Caenorhabditis elegans: one gene and its partner. The protein of the gene in region 1 interacts with the protein of each later gene in a pairwise test. Each region holds a gene or a part of one and is shown on either strand. Other genes may lie near its edges.

The links.
Region 2: the proteins of Y39B6A.1 (region 1) and crb-1 interact in a two-hybrid assay, tested with the Caenorhabditis elegans proteins (one study listed by BioGRID).

The regions. Positions count from the first base shown.
Region 1 is NC_003283.11:19,200,050-19,206,115, reverse strand, and holds Y39B6A.1 (Histidine-rich glycoprotein-like), read left to right. Parts: upstream 1-2,508; 5' UTR 2,509-2,518; coding exon 2,519-2,570; intron 2,571-2,732; coding exon 2,733-2,885; intron 2,886-2,931; coding exon 2,932-4,934; 3' UTR 4,935-5,103; downstream 5,104-6,066.
Region 2 is NC_003284.9:17,411,015-17,416,351, reverse strand, and holds the start of crb-1 (uncharacterized protein), read left to right. Parts: upstream 1-2,337; 5' UTR 2,338-2,502; coding exon 2,503-2,548; exon of another isoform or gene 2,549-2,660; intron 2,661-3,100; coding exon 3,101-3,386; intron 3,387-3,432; coding exon 3,433-3,532; intron 3,533-3,578; coding exon 3,579-3,729; intron 3,730-4,228; coding exon 4,229-4,371; intron 4,372-4,416; coding exon 4,417-4,512; intron 4,513-4,581; coding exon 4,582-5,023; intron 5,024-5,113; coding exon 5,114-5,253; intron 5,254-5,320; coding exon 5,321-5,337.

The DNA.
Region 1 (6,066 bases):
AAAATCAACAAAACTACTAGAAATCGGTTCTGCAGCCGATTTTCGAGCATTCGTCTTGATGTTTTGTGAAATTCAGAGCCTTCCGGCAAATTTCCAGTGAGAATTGCCAAAAATCTCCTTTTTAAAATGATATTCGCCGTGTTTCTCTCGAAAGAGTACAACTTTTGGCATAGAAATTGATTTTCCCGTGCTTTTCTGAACTTTCTACTGATTTTAAAAAAAAATCCCAGGAATTTGGGCAATTTTCCGTGAGAATTGTCTGAAAATCCCGTTCTAAACCGGAATTTTCAGTCGAAATCGCGTATTCAGCTCGACCAATCGGTGTAATTTGTGCAAACACCGTCACGCGCAAATGCAGACATTTTTGCACGCGGAATTCTCATTAAAATGCAATTCTCATTAATTTGTCAGCGAAAAGCAATAAAACCTCAACCACCAGATGCAGTTTTTGATTTATTCACGTCTTTTTCTTCTCGTTGCCACGATTCGGGTAACCGTTCCCGGAAACTTTGTCACGTGGGGCCACTCTATATTCTCGGAGCAATCGTAAAACTACATCAAAATTTGATAAGGAAGAGGAAAAACGAGTGGCAGCGGCAGAATGACCGATAATCAATTATGGAGAGAGAAAAACCTGCTGATGGCACATTTTTCGAATAGTTTTGCGGTTTTTGGTTTCGGAACGTGGGGCGGAAATTGCTCCCGAATGCTGAAAATGTACAGGAACTGGAAAAAAGTCAAGGATCTTAAAAATTAGGCTGCCTGTATGAATTCCACGACAGTATGCTGTGAAATGCTTGAAATTTCAAGTCAAAGGCCCAAAAAATATCAAAGTTTCAGGAAAATTGAGGAAACATCGATTTTCGATGTTTTTCCGGAAAAACTATCCAGATTTGAAGCTTTTTCTCCTAATTTTCCCGGTTTTTTTTGAGAAAAAGTCAAAAACTCGAATTTTGAAGCCAGAAGATTGTCAGGAAACGGAAATTTCTGACAAAATTGCTCAAACTCCTGAATTTTCCACCGGAAACCTTCAAAAAGTGTAGTTGGTACTTCAAAAACCAGTTCAATTGCAGCAAATTAAGAACATTATAGAGATAAGGAGTATTAATTGTTGGTGCAAATAATGAATTATAACCACCATTGCAAGATTGAATGATCACATGATATTTGGAAAACTAGAAAACTAGTATTTCGAATTTCCAACAAAAAAAAGGTGTTAAGAGCACCATTAAAAGTTTGCCATCATCTTTGGAAATGCCACAGGCTCATAAAATAGCAGTTTTGGGTGTGGCTCTTCAGAAAACACAGTTTGGAGTTTTTAGGGGCAGTTGGGAAAGGTCGGCGGGTGCTGAAAGCTCCGAAAGCCCAATCAGAGCTGCTGAATTTGGTTAAAATCTGGAAAACCAGGAATCTAACACCTTGAAGCAACCCAGTGCTGCTCAGAGCTCTTGAGGGCAGCTAAAGCCAGTTGGGAGCTTCTAGAGGCCCATAGAAGCTTATCGGACCAATAGGGAGCTGCTAGAAGCCGTGCTCGTCGGAGCTGCTAAAATCTGCTAGGAGCCACTGGGAACTCACAAAGGACTTGAGGCCTATTAGAATAGTACAGGGCTCAGTAGAAGCAAATTAAATCCTTTAGAAAGCTTGCTTGAACTCCTAGGTCAGGCTGGAAGCTTCTAGAGACATTTATGAGCTGTTGGAGGCAATTGGAAGATTTCAGCAGTCGGGCTTTTCGGAATCACTAAGAGCTCGTGAAGGCACTTTAGATCTGCTAGACGATCACAAGGCTTACTAAAAGCAAATTGAAGCCTTCAGAAAGCTTGCTGGGCGCCTAGGCCAGGCTTTGAACTCCTAGGTCAGGCTGGTAGCTTCTAGAAGTACTTGGAAGGGTCTAGGACTAGTTGGAAGCCGCTAGAAATGTCTATGATCTAACTGAAACAATTAGAAAATTTTAGCAATCAGGCTGCTCGGAGCCACTTGAAGCTTATTGGAAGCAGTTAAACGTTCCAGAAAAGGTCAGTGTCCAAAGGTCAGGCTCTTTTTCGGTATGCTAGAACCTACCGAGACCCGAAAAATCACAAAAACCTCCAACTTCTCACACAAAACCCTTCAGTGAACTACTATAATACAATCAGCTGAAAATTTGAAAATTTTGAAAATTAATCAAATGCTGATGCTCAACAGCTGTCAGACTTCATCACCTCTCCTATTACCTCCCCAAATATTACATCACTCTGACAATCATCGTCCCAAATTTTCACGTTTCTCCTTCTCCGGGTGTCTTATCTCGATCTCTCACTTCTCCAAACATCATCAAAACTTTTAATTGCCTCCCGTGTCAAAATGGGCGGAGTCAAACTTAAGGGAGGCGGAGCCTAAAAAAAGCTTATAAAATGGGGCGGAGGAGGACGGTGATTATCAAAATTTTCGGGGCTTTTTCTCGATTTTACTTCTAAAATCCCTCTTAACTTTGAATTTCGAGTAAAATTCTGAAAATTCTGAAAATTCCAGAACCTAAACAATGACGGTGCACCATCATCATCACACCCACCACGTGTCGCTTCACAAGATCAGTGAGTTTTCGGCGCTTCCTGCCAAAGATCATTCTTATCAGTGAAATTACCGAAAAAATTAGAAAATTTCGGAAATGTTTGCCAACACAACACAACTGACATGTTATCAGTTGTAGTTTCTTAGTATCACCTACGGTAGTCAAAGATCATGATAATTTTCAGAGAAGCTCTTCTCGAAGCACTCCTCGCACGGGCATAAGCTCACTCGGGATGAAGCTCGCTCGGCGCTCCACGATATTGAGCACCTGGCCAAGGAGCTCCACTTCCAGAAGGTCTTTGATCATCATGCTCATGATGGACACATCTCATTGAAAGGTTGGTCCGGAGCTTTGGAATCTCTTAATAAACAGGAATATTTCAGGATTCCTGAGCTTCATCTCCCCACACCACGGTCACCATACCCATCATGCTCACGGAGCCCATCCAGGCCACCACGAGGTCCACCACCACCATCACCATGTGAAGGCTCAGGACTCGAGCAGCTCCAGCTCCTCCTCCAGCAGCAGCTCGAGCTCCAGCTCCTCCAGCTCATCCTCATCCTCTTCCTCTTCGTCTGAATCCGAGGACGAGAAGCACCACCACAAGAAGCACGCCAAGAAGCATCTTAAGAAGCATCACAAGAAGGCCGAGTCTAGCTCTTCCAGCTCATCCAGCTCCTCGAGCTCCAGCTCAAGCTCCTCTTCCAGCTCCTCATCTGAGTCCGAAGACGAGAAGCATCACCATAAGAAGCATGCCAAGAAGCATCTGAAGAAGCATCACAAGAAGGCTGAGAGCTCTTCCAGCAGCTCATCGTCAAGCTCCTCTAGCTCCAGCTCCTCCAGCTCGTCTTCTTCGTCGTCGGAGTCCGAAGACGAGAAGCATCACCACAAGAAGCATGCCGTGAAGAAGCATCACAAGAAGGCCGAGTCTAGCTCGTCCAGCAGCTCGAGCTCGAGCTCCTCCAGCTCCTCTTCCTCATCCGAGGATGAGAAGCACCATCACAAGAAGCACGCCGCCAAGAAGCACGTGAAGCATCACAAGAAGGCCGCTTCCAGCTCCAGCTCTTCCAGCAGCTCCTCTTCCTCTTCCAGTTCTTCTTCATCGTCTTCTTCCTCGGAATCTGAAGACGAGAAGAAGAAGAAGAAGGTGCATCACAAGAAGAGCCACGGAAAGAAGCATCACAAGAAGGCCGCGAGCTCTTCTAGCTCTAGCTCTTCCTCCAGCTCCAGCTCCAGCTCCTCATCTTCCTCAGAATCTGAGGACGAGAAGAAGCACGCTCCAGCCCATCATGAGCACCACGAGCACAAGGATGGAGCTCATCACGAGCACAAGGAAGGAGAGCACCATGAGCACGCAGCTCATCACGACGAGCACGGAGTCCACCACAGACATCATGGAGAGCACCATGGGACCCACCACTCCCCAGCTCATCACGGGGAACATGGGACCCACCACGGACACCATGGAGAGCACCACCATGCTCCAGCTCATCATGGACACCACGAATCCCATGGACACGGACATCACTCCCCAGCCCACCACGGACATCATGGGGAGCACCACCATGCTCCAGCTCATCACGGACATCATGGAGAGCACCACCATGCTCCAGCACACCATGGACACCACGGGGAACATGGGACCCACCACGGACACCACGGATCCCATCACTCCCCAGCTCACCACGGACATCATGGGGAGCACCACCATGCTCCAGCACACCACGGACACCACGGGGAACATGGGACCCACCACGGACATCATGGAGAGCACCACCATGCTCCAGCACACCATGGACACCACGGGGAACATGGGACCCACCACGGACACCACGGATCCCATCACTCCCCAGCTCACCACGGACATCATGGGGAGCACCACCATGCTCCAGCTCATCACGGACACCACGGACACCACGGATCTCACGGAGTTCATCACGGACACCACGAATCCCATGGGCATGGTCACCACGCACCGGCTCACCACGGACACCATGGGGAGCATGGAGTTCATCACGGACATCATGGAGCAGGCTACGGAGCTCACCATGGACACCACGGAGCCCACCACCACCACGCCCCACACCATGAGCATCACGAACACCATGGAGATCATCACCACGGATCTCACGGAGTCCATCACGGACACCACGGAACCCACCACTCCCTAGCACATCACGGACATCACGGAGGTCATGGGACCCACCACGGAGCCCATCACTCCCCGGCTCACCACGGACACCACGGAGCCCACCACGAGCACGGAGCCCATCACGGAGCCCACCACGGACACCATGACGACAAGGAGAACCACCACCATCATGGACACCATTCGAAGCATTCAAAGAAGCAGCACACGAAGAAGTCACATAAGAAGAGCCACTAGACGGGCGGTCGATGAGCTTCTGCTCGCCACAATTGATGCGTCACTGCATTACATGTACTTTTTGGATAAATCCTGAACAGCCTTTTTTTTTTGTTTGTATCGATTTTTCTAGCGAATTTGTAATTTTTTGTACCAATTTTTCCGTGTCGAATAAATTAATTTCATTGTGTTTAGTGGAGAAAAACGAAGAAAAAAAACATGAAAAATTGCGATAGCAGCGCCCAAATCTTGTAGTTTGTAGTTTTAGCAGCGCCCAAACTCACTTTTTCTTCATTTTTCCAATTTTTTGCCGAAAAAACAGTCGAAAACTAGGTTTTTTATACGAAAAATCGCATAGCAGCGCCCAAAACTTGTAGTTTGTAGTCTTAGCAGCGCCCAAAATTGAATTAGCAGCGCCCAAAACTTGTAGTTTGTAGTTTAGCAGCGCCCAAAATTGAATTAGCAGCGCCCAAAATTGAATTAGCAGCGCCCAAAATCTTGTAGTTTGTAGTGTTAGCAGCGCCCAAAATCTTGTAGTTTGTAGTTTAGCAGCGCCCAAAATCTTGTAGTTTGTAGTCTAAGCAGCGCCCAAAACTTGTAGTTTGTAGTCTTAGCAGCGCCCAAAACTCGTAGTTTGTAGTCTAAGCAGCGCCCAAAATTGAATTAGCAGCGCCCAAAATCTTGTAGTTTGTAGTGTTAGCAGCGCCCAAAATCTTGTAGTTTGTAGTCTAAGCAGCGCCCAAAATTGAATAAGCAGCGCCTAAATCTTGTAGTTTGTAGTCTAAGCAGCGCCCAAAACTCGTAGTTTGTAGTCTAAGCAGCGCCCAAAATCATGTAGTTTGTAGTCTTAGCAGCGCCCAAAATCTTGTAGTTTGTAGTCTAAGCAGCGCCCAAAATTGAATAAGCAGCGCCTAAATCTTGTAGTTTGTAGTCTAAGCAGCGCCCAAAACTCGTAGTTTGTAGTCTTAGCAGCGCCCAAAATTGAATTAGCAGCGCCCAAAACTTGTAGTTTGTAGTCTTAGCAGCGCCCAAAATTGAATTAGCAGCGCCCAAAATCATGTAGTTTGTAGTCTTAGCAGCGCCCAAAATTGAATTAGCAGCGCCCAAAACTTGTAGTTTGTAGTCTTAGCAGCGCCCAAAATCTTGTAGTTTG
Region 2 (5,337 bases), on another chromosome or scaffold:
TACGTACAACTGTTCTAAATTAATAAGTTATTTTTATAAGGTTTTGTGTTTGAAAACGTAAGGTACTTAGTGAAGTTTTATTAGTACAGGAAAAATAGTCAGAATTTTTTAATAAATTTTCTAGCTCGATCTACATAATTAGTATTCAAAACCTTGATTCGAAAATAATTGTCTCACTGTTAGTCAACAAATCATCACGGACTATTTGTCTTCAATTATCTTGTTCATATCCCTTCTTCTCGCCATAACCGGAAATGCCTCGAAACAAATACATGTGTCCCTTCACTCTTAATACACCCTATATTCCGGTCGTCCACGCACCTTTTTTTCCTCAGCAGTCCATCAAGTGTCCCTCCGTCCTTTTCTGTCATTTGCTGCACAATTCTATTCTTTCCAAAAACTCTTTTTGTAAGACCTGGGGTTATGTGTGCACTGTTATCAATACCATGCTCTTTTCCATGACCTTACGACCCCGCGCGCGCGCAATCGTTTTGTTTTGTCTATATGCGTGTTTTTTATTGACTGACTGACCACTACATATTTGCGGCATATTCAAAAAAAAGGTGTTTAGAGATAGACAATTAGGCGACGAGATGTATCATGCACACATACATTTTTATCTTCTCTAGCGTATTTTTGCGCCGTATTTTTTTTCTGATGCAAAGTCCCCAGATAATACCATAAGTAGAACGCGATCCGAGAAGCTAGCCACAGGGGTGATTTTTTTTCGTTGCTAATTTTTTTTTGCTTTTCAAAATTGTTGTTTTCCGTAAGTACAATTTTAGCATTTTTTTTAGGAACGACAAAAAATCGTCAGATCAATTTGTAATTTGAAATTTGAATCCAAATAATCTCTTGGTTTTAAAAATTTAGCATTTCAACAAATATCAACACAAAAACTAAGTTTAATTATTCAATGTTTATCAACTGAATTTTTATTAAATTGAAAAAAAAGTTGTTTTTAAAAGTTGTTTTTTAAAAATTTATTTCATCATGTTACCGTGAATTGAAAATTTGAACTTTTCAGTTATTTGAGAAGATTCCCTATTTTGAAAATGTTGGCAACATATTTTTGAGCGTAAAATGTTCACAATGAACTGTAATTTTTTGATTAATCAAAAATATATATCAGAATCAATTTTAAGGTTTGTGACCTCCAACATTTCCAAAAAACATAACTGATAGCATAACAAGTAAGTTCAAAAACTTTGCGTCTCTTGAGTATTATTGGGAGGTAGTTTGAAATTCCCCAACTATCTTTGAAACATTTGAGAATTTCACTTTTTAAAATTATGTAATTGATTCACTTGTTGGTATTTTTCCATGAAATTCCGACAGTTTGCCATTTCCAAATGCGCGGTCATTTGTCAACTGTGCTCCGCCTTGGCCTTCATTTCTACTCAATTTTCTCAGCAAAGTTTGTCCCGTCTAAACGGAACTACTAAACTTTTTTGCTTTTGCCGTTTTTATTTCGGAAATTTTTATTTGAATTTTCATCCAAATATTTTCTAAAAACGTATTTCGATATCGGTAACCCCAGCAAATCTCATTTTTCCGCATAACAGGACAAACACACTGTCCTTTTCGCTTCACTTTTTTGCTATCCCCTTCTTTTTTCCGTGTGCGTGCCGGGTGAAACTAGTCTCATCATTTGAAAATTGTCTGTATAATATCCGACCTACTACACATAAAATATATAGATGTTGGAGATGTTGACAGCCGGAAATTGTTTGGAACTAATTAGCTGCTGAGGGTTTTTTGCTGTAATTCAAGTGGACCCAGCACTTTTTGAGTATTTTGAATTTGTACTTACGCATAATTAAGCTTGTTCATTCTTATTTCTTTTAAATAAAAAAACTCCTGAAATCACAATAAAACAATATTGTCGCTTGTTATGGGATAAAACCCCATATTTCAGCTAATTTTATTAACACATACAAGTACATTAGGAACTAGATGATAATAAAAAAAAGTAGGAAATATTTTATCAGACGACAATTAAAAGTAAAATCAAAAGCATGAGCTGCCAAACTGAAACGAGCACAAAAAAAATGTCGAAATTGTACAAATACTCTCGAAAACCTTTTTTTTTAACTAAACGCTGAATTTCTATGTTTTCACTTTTTATAAACGTTTGAAAATTTTGTATATCTTCAATCACTCGGTCAACTGAAACTTTCCCTACTATTTCCAAATTACCGTCGAAATGCCACAGGGCAGCTAGCTGACCCCTGGCAACCACGAGATTCCCCCCCCCCCCCCCTTCATCTCTCTTGCCCGTGTTTCCTCTTCCGTTCTAATTACCTGCTTATTATCCGACAATACACCTGGCTCTCTAGGACCTTCTCTTTCTCTCTCGCGTCACTCCGGCAGCTAGCGTGTGCGGTACAGAAGAACAATCGTCAAGCGGCAAACTACCTTTTTTACCTCCAAACACAAAACAATTCGACTAGCTGCCGTCATTACTCCTATTTGGGATCTGCATTCAATGATCTACCACTCATGAAATATCAACATTTTCTCATATTTTGTACCCTGGTTACAAATGGTAAGTCTACTACTAAGATATGATGTCATTCGGTTTCACAGACTGATTGATCTGAGTGTGAAAAGTTTTGGTTTAGACTAGATGAGAGATAGAAATGTATAACACGAAGTTTAAGTGAACATCTCAAAAACTGAAAATCTAATTTAAATTCAAAATATGTTTGAGAAAGTTGATTTTGGGCTTTTAAGTGTTGAGCATTGTTGTATCTGAAAACTCTCAATTTTTGCAGCCCATCTCTTCTTTGATTTTGTAATCGTTTATATATTTTCAACTAAAATTGTAAACAAATAACTATTAACATATTTGTCGGTTAACAATTATTTCAGAAGCCCAGACCTTTTCAATAAAACACATGACTTCTTTCTCTGAAAATTAAATGAAGCTCGTATATTTCATACCAAAAAACAAAATAAATTTCTAAATTTTGTTTTCCAAAGATCAGTTCCAATCTAAAACTTGGACAAAACTACCAACTGACTTTTTGCAAAAAGTAATCCATCATTATCATTAAGACAGATGAATACCACAAGCTGTCACTAAAACTCTTTTCAGCACTATGTAACAGAGCGTGCAGTCGGAACACATGTCTTAACGGCGGAACTTGCACAGTGAACGATGAGACGCGAATGTTTCAGTGTGAATGTCCGAAGGGTTTCAGTGGGTTGCTATGTCAGGACAACTGCTCTTTGCACTGTCTCCACGGTAACTGCGTGAAAGGAACGTTTGGCGAAGAAACTTGCCAGTGCTCCGAAGGATGGATGGGCTCACTTTGTGATAATCTAGTTACTGATGATGACACTGCTCAAAAGTGCTCACCGCAATGTGGCGATGACGAAAGGTATACATGACCTTGTGCAAACCAAAAACATGTATGTTTTTTATAGATGCACAAAAGGAGCCGACGGATCATACATTTGCCAGAGCAACGAGCCGTCTTGCGCAACACACACTTGTCAGAATAACGGCACTTGTGTTGCCGAGAACGTGAGTGACTTGAGTCCAGAGTGATAAAAACCAATAGAATGTTCAGGGAAATGTAAAATGTGCCTGCCCACCTGGATTTGTTGGAGATCACTGTGAAACTGACGAGGACGAGTGCAAAGAAAATTTTTGTCAGAATGGAGCAGATTGTGAAAATTTGAAAGGAAGTTATGAATGCAAATGTTTAAAAGGATTTTCTGGTGAGTTTTGGTTTGAAAATTTGGATGGGAAGGATGAAATATAGTTTTCCAGTAGACATAATTGTGAAAAAAAAACCTGAAGTTTGAAAAACGTTTAGTTAGATTTTTTCAATAAGACTAGTGTGAATTTGATCAAAAATCATTTATAAGGTGCTAAATGACCAAATGTCATAAAAAATTTTCTAAACAATTCGGGGATTTTTTATCTCGAGTCAAAAATCGCATACATGTTTTTGCCACGTTTCGACAAATCTGAAGCATTGTCATGTTGATCCCTTTTGGCTCGAAATAAAATCATTTCTTCAGGTTGTTCAAAAAGTTTTATTATGATATTTGGACAAATACCCAGTTTTTTTGCAATACTTATAGTTTTCAACTTTCTTATTATTTTCTCAATTTTGTTAACGTTGCTGATTTGTTGAGAGTTTACATTCGAATAAATTATTTTATAAAAACAAAAGAAAACTAAGAAGAAACATGTTTTCACAATTTCTTCTAGGTAAATACTGTGAAATCCAAGACAAGAAACAATGCACTTCTGATTATTGTCACAACAATGGTCAATGCATTTCGACTGGCTCCGATCTCTCCTGCAAGTGCTCTCCCGGGTTTGATGGTGCATTCTGCGAGCTCAAAGCAGAGGTAACACCAATTTTCTCACTGTTAATTGCTTGTGTTTTTTCTCAGGTTAACGAGTGTATATGTGAAAACCCGGCTCATGTTTGTTCACTCGTAAACGGGACGTCAAGGACAACGCAATGCGAGTGTCCTTCGGGGTTTATGGTACGTTTGACGAATAATCTGGGCATGTTCGGATATGGGTCCCTCGCGCAATCTATCGTTTAATTGCAGGGTGCCGACTGTAAAGAGTTGCAAGCTCGTCCATGCGATCGTGAGCCGTGTCTTAATGGGGGTCACTGCGTCGACGACGGGCAGAATCTCTTCACCTGCTTTTGCCTTCCCTCTTTTACCGGCATCTATTGTGGAGAGCCTGTTGATTGTCTGGTTAATGGATCGGATTGTAAGAATGGGGGAAAGTGTGTGTTCGCGTTAGCCGCAACTACCTGCCAGTGTCCGGAAGGATTCAATGGGTCCAATTGTGAAATAAGTAATTCATATCGGTCACATCCAACATGCAGTGACATTCGATGTTTGAATGGTGGAAGCTGTAAACTCGACGCAGAAGGGGAACCGTTTTGTGTATGTGAAGAAGGGTTTGATGGACCGTTCTGTGAGCCAAAATCTGGATGCACAATTAATCCCTGTCAAAATGGAGGAACTTGCCAAGATGCAGGTAATAAGAAAAAGAATAGAGTTTTTTAGGGAGCTGTAAATTAATTTTTGTGCTGATACTGATACTCTTTAAAGTTTTACAATTTTTCAGATGGACAATACTTCTGTCATTGCACATCAGGCTTTGGTGGCGTCCACTGCGAAACGGTGGATGAGCCTTCAACCCCTATTCCCACATTAGGAACGTTTCCATCTTTTACAACTTCTGGAATCGACGGATTCTCTCAGAGTGTGAGTGTTTTAGTTTTTTATTCAAAATTCGTTCATAATAAATACTTGCAATATTAAAATTTTTCAGAAAATATCTTGCGAAGA